Linked DNA regions of Rattus norvegicus. The protein of the gene in region 1 purifies or fractionates together with the protein of each later gene. This does not show direct contact. Links are inferred from orthologs where the notes say so. Each region holds a gene or a part of one and is shown in the gene's direction. Other genes may lie near its edges. The genes, in order: Nolc1, Arrb1 and Csnk2a2.

Evidence for each region.
Region 2: the proteins of Nolc1 (region 1) and Arrb1 purify together in Homo sapiens (affinity purification with mass spectrometry; 4 studies listed by BioGRID and IntAct, counting the BioPlex papers as one, with this or other methods). This does not show direct contact. The link is inferred for Rattus norvegicus from reciprocal best matches to the Homo sapiens genes NOLC1 and ARRB1.
Region 3: the proteins of Nolc1 (region 1) and Csnk2a2 purify together in Homo sapiens (affinity purification with mass spectrometry; 5 studies listed by BioGRID and IntAct, with this or other methods). This does not show direct contact. The link is inferred for Rattus norvegicus from reciprocal best matches to the Homo sapiens genes NOLC1 and CSNK2A2.

What each region holds. Positions count from the first base shown.
Region 1 is NC_086019.1:254,869,063-254,873,249, forward strand, and holds the start of Nolc1 (nucleolar and coiled-body phosphoprotein 1), read left to right. Parts: upstream 1-1,296; 5' UTR 1,297-1,348; coding exon 1,349-1,468; intron 1,469-4,156; coding exon 4,157-4,187. UniProt on the Homo sapiens protein: Nucleolar protein that acts as a regulator of RNA polymerase I by connecting RNA polymerase I with enzymes responsible for ribosomal processing and modification.
Region 2 is NC_086019.1:163,305,584-163,309,230, forward strand, and holds part of Arrb1 (beta-arrestin-1), read left to right. Parts: exon of another isoform or gene 1-709; intron 710-715; coding exon 716-851; intron 852-2,148; coding exon 2,149-2,233; intron 2,234-2,622; coding exon 2,623-2,695; intron 2,696-3,647. UniProt on the Homo sapiens protein: Functions in regulating agonist-mediated G-protein coupled receptor (GPCR) signaling by mediating both receptor desensitization and resensitization processes.
Region 3 is NC_086037.1:9,593,273-9,596,919, forward strand, and holds part of Csnk2a2 (casein kinase II subunit alpha'), read left to right. Parts: intron 1-1,251; coding exon 1,252-1,400; intron 1,401-3,336; coding exon 3,337-3,413; 3' UTR 3,414-3,430; exon of another isoform or gene 3,431-3,647.

The sequences.
Region 1 (4,187 bases):
GGACTGAAACCCCAGTTCTCCTGCCTACTCTCTTACAGTGACAGCCTGTGCATGGAGATATTTTAGAATACAGACACTTGTGGGATGGAGAAGATACAGTTTTGGGGTTGGTTTTTTTTTTTTTTTTTTTTTTGTTGTTGTTGTTGTTTGTCTTCTGAAGCCAGGGTTTTTCTGTATAAACCTGACTATCCTGGATCTCACTCAAGGGATAACTGCTTCTGCCTTCAAAGTGTTGGGATTATAGTATTTCAAACTCAAAAGAACTCCTCTTCCTCCTCCTTTGCCCCACCCTCCTCTCCCTCTCTCCTCAGATCTACCTACTTTTGTCTCTCAACCCTGGGTTTCAAGGCATTTGCCACCAAGCCTATGAGAATAAAAGTTTTCTCAACTGGGGTTTGTGTCTATTAAGTGTTTCAGGTAAGCTCACCAATTTAATTTGATCACCGTCCTGGCGCGTGGATTTTTTTAAAAAAATTAATATGGATGGATGGATAGAAGCACCTCCTCTGGGAAATAGGATAACATTTCTTTTTAGAAGGAGCGACTGTTTTGAGGAAAGTAAAAGGTGTTCACAGGAAGTGCATCTTTATTGTTTCGTGAGGGATAACTAATGTGACCTGGAAAATAGCTGATAGTGGAGTTTTCAGAATTCAGTGTGACTTCTGACTTAAGGAAGAAAGGGTTATTGAGTCCCTTGATCTTTTCTCTGGAATGAACCCGTGCTCTCCTCCCCCTTTTCGAGTTGTGTATGGTTGGGATAACAGTCTTTAAACCTAGCTGTGACTGACAGTCAATGTGGGATACTAACACCTTTGTCACCACAACTTTTAGGATTGCCTTATGATTTGAGTCTCACTGGGTGTGAAGGATGTGAAGAAGTCATTGTTGGTGGGAGCTTGAGCAGTAGACGACACCTCTAGAAAGGTGAAAGAGACTCGAGTTCTCCATTCCTTTGATTATCGTGGGGTCTGAATAGCAGCCGGGGCTTGGAAACTACGTTTCTATAGATAGAAGTCCATTCAGCAGAGATAATGCGCGGGAAGTTGCAAGTTTTCCCGCCTCGGACGGGAGCGTGACCTCTGACGTAAAGCTCCGCCTCCTTGGGGGGGAAGGCTAGTGGGCTCCGCCCTTTACAGGATGACGACGCGTGTGAGACCGGAAGGAACTTATAGATTTCGCATGCGTCCTGCCTCCGGGGCGGAGGGAGCCCTGCCTCGTGGGGGCCATTCTTCCGCTGCGCGCCGCGCGACGTGATGACGACACTGGGCCCGCCCTCTACCCTGGCTGTGCTCTGGAGTTCTTCAGTCGTACCGCGTGCGCAACGGTAGTGACGCGTTTAACCCGGAGTATGGCGGATACCGGCTTGCGCCGCGTGGTTCCCAGCGACCTTTATCCCCTTGTGCTCGGCTTTCTGCGAGATAACCAGCTCTCAGAGGTGGCCAGTAAATTTGCAAAAGCGACAGGCGCTGTGAGTCCTTGGTTTGGTTTGCGGGCCGGGGTGGGACGACTCTCCAAGGTAGTCTAGGCCTTGTCAGGTTTAGAAGTCAAGAAATCGAGGTCTGGGGTCTGTCAGTCTAATGTCTGTGAAGCCTCTCTGCCGACCTTTCTGAGGCTTAAGGTCTCGGCATCTCTTTCCATCACGTCTGACTAGCTCCGAATCTTACGGCTTTTGGTGAGTTTTGCAGTGGTGGCAGGCATGGGTCCCTCGTGACCTAGGACATGTGGCGATAGATCCCTCCCGGAGCATTGGTTTGGCGGTGCCTGCTTCTGCTGTACTTTTTGTTGGACTTACACTTGGTTGCAGTTTTACCTGAGACTCAAAGATAAATTGTTACTAGTGAAGGCTAGGATCCTATTTATTTATACACTTTAAAAAATGAGTGAGTGCAGGGATAAACTGCGTAGCAATGAAAACTAGGATATCATTATTTATTTAGTTACTTAATGAATGAGTGCAGGGATAGGCTGCTTTCAGTATACCATAGAAAGCGTGAGCATCTTTCCCTGTCAAGTTGGCACTGGGCTTGGAGCTTCAGGTAGTGATATAAAGCAAATGGAGGCTTAGGCCAGATCCACCACTTTCTACATTGATGATCCTGGGCATCCTTTTATTTAAAACAAAGTTCAACCCTTTATATTGTGTATAAAAGTCCTTGTAGAGTGGAAGATGGATGTAAACTTCTGTCCCTCTTGCCTCAGCCTCCTCATCCTAAGCATGCCTGAACATAGCAGGATGCCATTTTGGTTTTTGTTGTCAAGACAAGAGTTTCTCTTTGTGTAGCCTTGGCTGTCTTGCAACTCACTTTGTAGACCAGATTGTCCTTGAACTCAGCTCTCACTCTGCCTACCAAAAGCAGGGATAAAAAGGTGTGCTCAGCCCTATTTACAGCTTTTGAGTGAATGAGATTCACCAAGCGAAAAATACACAAGCCAGTAATCTCATTGTAGACACACAGGGACCATGGGATGAGTGACAGCTATTGTGTCACTTCAAATCCATGTAAGAGCAAAATTAAGTGAAGGAATGTGAAATGTCTCGTCTGCATCTTAAGAAAAGCTGTAGTGTTCATGGAAACACCTTGAAAGACTGTGTAGACTTACGGTCTTTTTTTTTTCAGGGTGATAGCATAACTGACAATTTAGGTTTCTTCTGCTTTATTTCTATTTCTATTTTCTATGTCTCATCGTGTAACCCTGGCTAGCCTGGAACTCATATGCAGAGTAGACTGGCCTCCCAGAGATGCCCCTGCCTCTGATTCCTCAGCGTTGGAATTAAAGGCTGCACCATCATAACTGCCTGGTCCCCTCCTGTTTCTGTGGCCATTTTTGACCTGGCCTTGGCCTTATGATCTTCCTGCCTTAGATCCTGGGAATCTTGGGTTACAGGCCACCAGACCACATAAGAGAGTTCTTTGAGCCAGGGCAGCCTGGCATGTGATCTGATGATACATGCCCACCTGTTCCTGAATGGTCTTAGCCGATGGACCTTCTTCCAGTGCCCCTTACTCCTCCCCGCCCTTCCTTCTTTTTTTCCTTTTTTTCGGAGCTGGGGACCGAACCCAGGCTAGGCAAGTGGTCTACCACTGAGCTAAATCCCCAACCCCCCCACCCTTCCTTCTTAAGACATGGGGTCTCAATATATAGTTATGGCTGTCCTGGGGCTCACTGTGTAGACTTAAACTCATCTCTACTTGTCTCTCCTTCCCACATGCTAGAATTTAAGGCATATGCCACCACACCTGGAACCTTTGTTTGCTTATGTATTCTCTCATGCACGTTGGTGGTTTGCCTGCATGTAAATGTGTGTGATGTGTTAGATTCTGGAGTTCAGACAGTAGAGAGCTACCATGTGGGTGCTGGGAATTGAGCCAATTCTCCAGCCCCGCCTTTCTGACTTTTTTTTTTTTCCTTTCTGACTTTTAAAAGTCAATTGTTTAGGAAAAAAGTTAATAGTTAGAAAATATGAAGCCACAGGTGTCAGGATTGCGTGGATCTGGAGTTAACAGATGTGGGCGCTGGTAAAAGTGTGGATGGAAAGGCATAGGAATAGCTATGCTATAAAGTTTTCATGTTCAGTGTTAGGTGATATGTAAGTGGAATATTTTTCTCCTAATTTATACAAGTAGGAAAAGTCTTAAGATGTAACATCCATTTCAAATTGAGTAGGTAGTTAAAATAACTTTTTTTTTTTTTTTTGGTTCTTTTTTTCGGAGCTGGGGACCGAACCCAGGGCCTTGCGCTTCCTAGGTAAGCGCTCTACCACTGAGCTAAATCCCCAGCCCCTTAAAATAACTTTTTAAAAAAGATTTATTATATATAAATACACTGTAGCTGTCTTCAGACACACCAGAACAGAGCATGAGATCTTATTACACATGGTTGTGAGCCACCATGTGGTTGCTGGGATTTGAACTCAGGACCTCTTAACCACTGAGCCATCTCTCCAGCCAGTAAAACAACTTTTGAGACAAGGTCTCTTTACATAACCCTGGTGTCCTGGAACTCTGTATATAGTCCTCTTGGGCCTTGGCCTCACAGATCTGCCAGTCTGTCTTCCAAGTGCTGGGACCATGCCAGGCTGACAAATTACATTGATCAAAGAGTAACAGAATCTGACCGAGAGACGCTTTCCTTAACCAAGCCTCTTTTCTTACAGACACAGCAGGACGCCAATGCCTCTTCCCTCT
Region 2 (3,647 bases), about 92 Mb from region 1:
TAGTGATACAATGGCTGTCAGTTCTCATAGGCTTAGTTGGTTCCGGTCATGTTCATAGTAATGGGCAGATGTGGTTTAGCCTTCCCAGGGGTCCTAAGGGGTAAGAGTTGTTGTCAGTGTTTCACAAATGAGGGAACTGATGCACAGGGAGGTAATTTCCCCAGAGCATGCCGTAACTCGCCAGCTCAGTCTGTCCCGGCTTCTACCCTAAGCCCTGTGACCTCCATTGAACTCTCATTCGTGGGCCTCTCTGAGTCACCTCTTCACTGTCCTGCACTCTTGGCTGAATCCACATCCTATAATGGACATCCTCCTCCATGAGGGCTGTTAGTTCTGCACACTTCCACTTAGCAAGTGCCAGGCGGCAGGTGCTGACCCACGTGCTGAGACTGTGGTGGTGAACCAGCTAGGTAAGAAGTTCCCATCCTCCAGTGGCTCACGCGATCAGGAGACAGGGAGCAAGAAGTAAAAAATAGTCCCTTTCTTACTATTTATTGTGCTGGGTCCTGGGATCCACAGACCCAAATGAAGCACTGCTGTCGAATGGCTCAGGGACAGGGTTGAGGAGGCTGGGGCTGTGTCACATGGTGACAAACCCTCCAGGTTAACCACCGTGATTGGCGAGCAAGAGGGAGCTGCAGTAGCCACTTGAGCAGAGAAGGGAGTGTGGGGGCCGGTGACTCTGTCTGTCTTTCTCCCCATCCATCTTCTTTAGGAATTCTGTGCGGCTAGTCATCCGGAAGGTTCAATATGCCCCTGAGAGGCCTGGCCCTCAGCCCACGGCTGAGACCACCAGACAGTTCCTCATGTCGGACAAGCCCCTGCACCTTGAGGCATCTCTGGATAAGGAGGTAAGAGACTCAGATCCCATTGTCCCCAGCTCTACTACCCCTCAGATCCCAGTGTCTCCTGACAGCCCTTAAGTGTTTGCAGAACCCTGTTGTGGTTCAAAGGACTGACAGAGGTAGGCATGGGCATTTACAGGATGGGAGCAATGGAAGGGTTCTGGTCCTTCTCTTCACACTCTGATAATTGCCTGCTTGAGACCGGGTGGAGAAGCCCAGCACATCAGCAGGGGTGATGATGGGAAAGAGGACCCAAGGATGCCTTGCTATTACCCTCTTATCTATGAGCAAGAAGGTGAAAAACCCTTGAAGTCAGGTGACTAAGCCAACTGACTGGGGTGTAGGAGTGCACCTCCTCCTTCTTGGGGCAGCTAAAGGCAAGGGCCTGGACGAGTGGTGGAATTCTCTAAGAATTCCGAGCAGGTCCTTTAGTTGGTTAGCCTTTCCTCTCTTCTCCTGAATTTTCCAGAGTTTAATGTGTCTGCGAACCCAGACCATCAGAGCCCACAGGGACTTGAGGCCTTGCTCTGTCCAAGCCTGCACATAGAATAAGGAGAAGCAGAGTCTCAGATAACCTGTCCAAGGTCATGCAATGTTTATCATCATTGCTATTATTGTTGTTTGAGCTAGTGATCAGAATGGGACTGGAGCCGAGGATGTCAGCTTCTTTTTCTTTTTCCTATGTGTGTATGTGGGCGTGCATGGGTGCATGGGTGCTTGTGTATGTGTGTGTGTATGTGGTATGTATATGTGCGTGTGTATGTGTGTGTGATGTATGTGTGTGTGTGGTATGTATGTGTGTGTATGTATGTGTGGTGTGTGTGTGTGTGTGTGTGTGTGTGTGTGTGTGTGCACGTGTGCCCACACATGCATGTGTGTGGACCTGGAGGACAATCTTGAAGGTGTCATTCTCAGAAATGCCATCCAGCTCCTTTGAGGCAGTCTGTCAGTGGTACAGAGCTTACCTGGGCTAGATTCTGTGGGCATTGAGCCCCAGGGGTCCTCTTGTCTCTGCCTTCCTAGTGCTGGGATTACAAGTACCCAGCATTTCTACACAGCTTCTGGAGATCAAACTTAGTTCCTTGTGTTTGCAACACAAGTACTTTACTGACAAAGCCGTCCCCTCAGTCCTGGAATGGAAAGACATCTAGTACAGACGTCTTTGAAAGGTCCTACAGTGGTACTGAAGGTTCATATACACTTGGTAGTTTTGTGACACTTTTATGTCAGTGGGAAGTGGCTGAAGAGCTAGGGGGCAGAGTTTAGTGTCCCTGCCCACACTCTTCTGTCTTTTGCCTCACAGATCTATTATCATGGAGAGCCCATCAGCGTCAATGTCCATGTCACCAACAACACCAACAAGACTGTGAAGAAGATCAAGATCTCGGGTAGCTGGGAATCCTTCTGGGGGGGTGGGATAGCGGCAGGCGTGGTCTTCATTAAAAGCCTGAGACAGTACCATTAGTAGCTTCCTGAAGCTTGCGTCTGCCGGCAGCCTACAGTGGCTTCAAAGCTGGGCAATGGGTTTACTGCCTTGCAGATTCCTTCTTAGGCTTCCTGGGCTCTGGCCAAGCTGTCCTGGGAAGAAAGACTTCGTCATGGAAGGGACTAGGCTTTGATGGGGTTTCTGTTTGGGTGGAGTCTGGGGTGGTGGCCTGTGGTAAATGCTGGCCATTGTCTCAATCTAAGCAAGCACATCTGCCACAGGGAGCTTGAGGTATATCATGAGAGGGACCCCTGACTCATGCGCCCACCTCCCCGGCCCCTCTCTCTCCAGTGCGCCAGTATGCAGACATCTGTCTCTTCAACACAGCTCAGTACAAGTGCCCAGTGGCCATGGAGGAAGCTGAGTAAGTGTGTTTGAAGCCAACTTTGGATGGGTGGGACTAGATAGGAGAAAGGGAAGTTCTGAGTCTAGGACCAGGCATCTTTTTTTTTTTTTTTTTTTTTTTTTTTTTGGTTCTTTTTTTCGGAGCTGGGGACCGAACCCAGGGCCTTGTGCTTCCTAGGTAAGCGCTCTACCACTGAGCTAAATCCCCAGCCCCAGGACCAGGCATCTTTAATCAACCTGCAGAGAGCCGGGCCTCTGCCTTCTTTGACATTCACAGTAGATGGCACGGAAGAGTCTTCCTCCAGGTGCTGACATTATAGGCGTGAGCCAGCCACACCTGCCACTTAGACCTGGTTTCTAATATCCTAGAGACAGAGATGTTAATATCAAACCAACTATTCTTGCATTATTGGATAGTCTCATATTCACTGTTGATTAAAAATGAAGTCCGCAGCCACAAGGCATAGATGTTGGGGGTTCATTGCAACGACCTAGAGCCAGGACAGCATTTAACCCCAGGTGGGACACCATAGTCTGTATATGCATCTGCAGCCTGGAGGAAGGATAGTCGTCTGGGCTTCCAGTGAGCATGGTTTCCCGTGGGGTTGGGCTAGGGGGTTGAGATGTGGCTGGCTCTGCTCCAAGAGGCAAAGCTGGGCCTTACTCCATGGCTGCCCTGGTGTCAGGTGAATGCATCTGTCTCATCTTTGGAAAGGGAGAGGGGGGATAAAATAGCACCAGGCCAGAGTGAACAACGGAGGTTCCTGTACATGACTGATGGATACGCATTAGAGCAAGTAGAGTTTCAGTGGTAGAACCTGGGTAGGAGCTGCCAGACACTTACTCATGGTTTGCATGCAGTGATACTTTTGAAAGTAAACGTGGGCTGAGTAGTTAGGAGCCCTTGCTGTTCCTCTAGAGGACCAGGGTTCATTTTCCAGTCCCCATGTCAGGCAGCTCACAACAGCTTG
Region 3 (3,647 bases), on another chromosome or scaffold:
ATATTGATGTTGGTTGCTATGTAGACCAGAGCTAGTCTTCAACTCACAGAGAGCTACCTGACTTAGCCTTCTAAGTGCTAGGACTCCTACTAAGAAATGGAAGACAAACGGGGTTGGGGACTTAGCTCAGTGGTAGAGCGCTTGCCTAGGAAGCGCAAGGCCCTGGGTTCGGTCCCCAGCTCCGAAAAAAAAGAACCAAAAAAAAAAAAAAAAAAAAAAGAAATGGAAGACAAGCCATGTGTGGACATGGAAATCTCTAATCCTCTAATCACAACACCTGGAAGGCTGAGGCAGGAGGATCATTGAACTTGAAGCCAGCCTGACAATCATGAGATCCTGTGCAAATAAATAGAAGACAAAATCATAATGTTACAGGGGGAAAAATGTTACTCTGGTTAAAGCATGTACTTAAAATTTTTTTAAATTACTTCTTTCTGGTTTATATGTAAGCGTGTTTTATCTGTTTACGTGTACATACCATGTGTGTATTGATGACTGCAGAGTCACAATAGGGTTTTCTGAAACTGGAGTGAGGGATGGGTGTGAGCCACCATGTGATTGTCAGAAATTGAACTCTAGAGGAGCTGACGCCATTTCCCCAGCCCTGAATATATTTACTTTGGCGACAAATCTGGGAAAACTATGTTTCTTTGAATAAGAAATGAACAACTGATTTTTCTGAATTAAGTTTTACAATAAATACTAAGGATGCTGAGTTTTCAGGTACAGTAGATTGTGTGGTTTAGAGTTTTGTTTGTTTGACAAGGTCTTGCTGCACAGCCCTGGCTGGCCTCAGGCTGAGTGCTAGGATTGCAGATGTACACCACCATGGCCAGCCCCACTGCAGCATGCTATAAGGAAATGCTTGCCTGGCGTCTTCACACATTATTATAGGAAACCACTTGTTTCTAGAGCCAACTCTCTCATTCTGTCCACCAGGCTGCACTCATAGTTGGGAAAAAAACGGGCCATAAGAATAATCCAGAAAGATTGAACCAATTCTCACTCAGATGTAGAAGTTTTAAACAAATTCTGTTTATCTAATGATTGAGCAGTTTGGTGTCAGTACATCGTGGTTATAACTGGGTGTGGGGGGGTTGAAGAAGCGTCAGTTATATGAAGTGGGTGCCTCCAAGAATGAGCTTCAGCTGCTTCACACTGGTTTAAGGAGTCACTGGTGTTGGGTCTAGTAGAGGAGAATTTTTTGTGTAGTTTAGTCTCAGAATAGTAATGATACACTGTTTTTCTTAGGCATTCACGGAAGCGCTGGGAAAACTTTATCCATAGTGAGAACAGACACCTTGTCAGCCCCGAGGCCCTTGATCTTCTTGACAAGCTCCTGCGGTACGACCATCAACAGAGATTGACCGCCAAAGAGGCCATGGAGCACCCGTACTTCTGTGAGTTTTTGTTTTGTTTTTAAGAATTATTATGTATGAAAGTACACTGTAGCTATCTTCGTGCACACAAGAAGAGGTGTCAGAGCTCATTACAGATGGTTGTGAGCCATGTGGTTGCTGGAAATTGAACTCAGAACCTCTGGAAAGCAGTTGGTGGTTTTAACCTCTGAGCCATCTCTCCAGCCATTGCCCCCCATGTGCTTCTAAAGGAAGCAATGTGTGAATAAGAGGGCTCTGAGGTGAGGGAACAGGCAGGTGTGACAACTGGACTCTGACCTTTGACATCTTCCATAGAGCACACGTGCTCCTTCTGGACCTGCTTATCGTTTGAATGTTAGTAGTTCTCCCCATTGAAATTTCACACACACCTTACCCATGTACTTGAAGAGGTAGCTGAGTCTAGTCATGGAAGAGGCTGAGAGAGATGAAGTTGAGTAGACTTAGTTCTCTCTGAATCAAGATGAACTCTGTCCTGTAAGGCTTCTGTGTGTTGTTTGACTACTATGTGTTCTTTTCCTTTTTACCTCTGGAGTTAACTAATTCCTAATAATAACTAACACGAAGAATATGTTGCTACAGTTTCAAATTTACAGCAGAAGTTTAAGGACAAAAAATATACAGGGTCAGGTTGGGGATTTAGCTCAGTGGTAGCGCTTGGCAAGCGCAAGGCCCTGGGTTCGGTACCCAGCTCCGAAAAAAAGAAAAGGGAACAAAAGAAAAAGAAAAAAAAAAGAAAAAGAAAAAAATATATACAGGGTCTTCTCTTTCAGCCTTCTATGGCTGAACAGGCAACATTCAATTGTCTGCTTTCTAATTTCCAACACAGAGCTGCTTTTACCCTATGGGGTTGGCCACTGTAAGGATATTGGTATAGCCCGGAGTGGTGGCACACACCTTTAAGTCGGCCGTTCAGGAGGTAGTCAGATCTTTGAGGCCTGTCTTTAATTTAAATAGCCAGGTAATCCCAGAACTCGAGAGGCAGAGGCAGGTGGATCCCTGAGTTCAAGGCCAGTCTGAACTACAAAGTGAGTTCCAGTATAGTCAGCCAGGGCTACACACAGAAAACCTGACTCAAACAGAAACAATGAAACAGAAAACAATACTAATGTAAACTCATAAGGCACGCATATGCATGAGGACTGTACATTTGAGGCCATCTAAGGTATGTAGTGAGATCTGTCTCAGAAATAATAATGAAAACAACCTGATGAAGGTTCCATCCACATAATTCATTATTTGATTAAATAAGCTCAGTATTTGACTGCCCCTTACAGTGGCTGCCTGCCATTGGCTCTTTCATTCACCTTTTCACACATGCTTGTCACTGTATGACACTGGTACTCAAGGAAGGAATTGGTATAAATTTGAACAGTGCTAAGTTAGAATTTCTGTGCTTTTCAGCAGTTGGGTCTATATTCTAAGGGAATAGAAAAATTACCTAGAAAAAAATTCCCCGGGGTTGGGGATTTAGCTCAGTGGTAGAGTGCTTGCCTAGCAAGCGCAAGGCCCTGGGTTCAGTCCCCAGCTCCGGGGGAGGGGGGTTCCCCAGTGGGCATGAGGCCACCGTGGCTAAGCTGGAGGATCATCGGGGTGAAGAAGAGTGAGTTCAGGGCTTCTCTGAGCACCTTGTAAAACTTCATCCCAAAATCAAATGTTCAGTGGGAGGTGAGGAGGTGACTTGGTGGTAGATTGATTGCCATAGCATGTGTGAAACTGTGGGTTCTAGACCCTGCTCTGAGGGGGGAAAATAAGGAACTATTTCCTGATCCTGGCTTGGTGCCTGGTTTTGTTTTGTTTTTTTTTTTATAACCCGGGTCCCACATAAATGTGTCTGTCTTGGTACTGTGGAAAAAGAAAGGCAGTTGGCTATTATGGTGTTCTCTCTATAACCTCAGTGCTTGTGCTCATGTGGGAAACCTGTGCTCCTCTCTTGCAGACCCGGTGGTGAAGGAGCAGTCCCAGCCTTGTGCTGAGAACACCGTGCTTTCCAGTGGTCTCACCGCAGCACGATGAAGCCTGGGGAATCGACGGTAATGCGGCACTGATGCTTGCCCATAAAAACCAACCACCAAACAAAAACTTGAAGGAAACTGCAGTGTGATAAACAGAGATTCTAATCCTTCCTTCTAAAGGCAAAGAAGAGTAAAGACCTAAGTCTGTCAAAGCAGGAACTCCCCAGTAGTCTGCAGGGCGCTGCGCTGTGCAGTGTGGCAGAGCGCATGGTTCAGGATCTGAGGGACTCTCCCT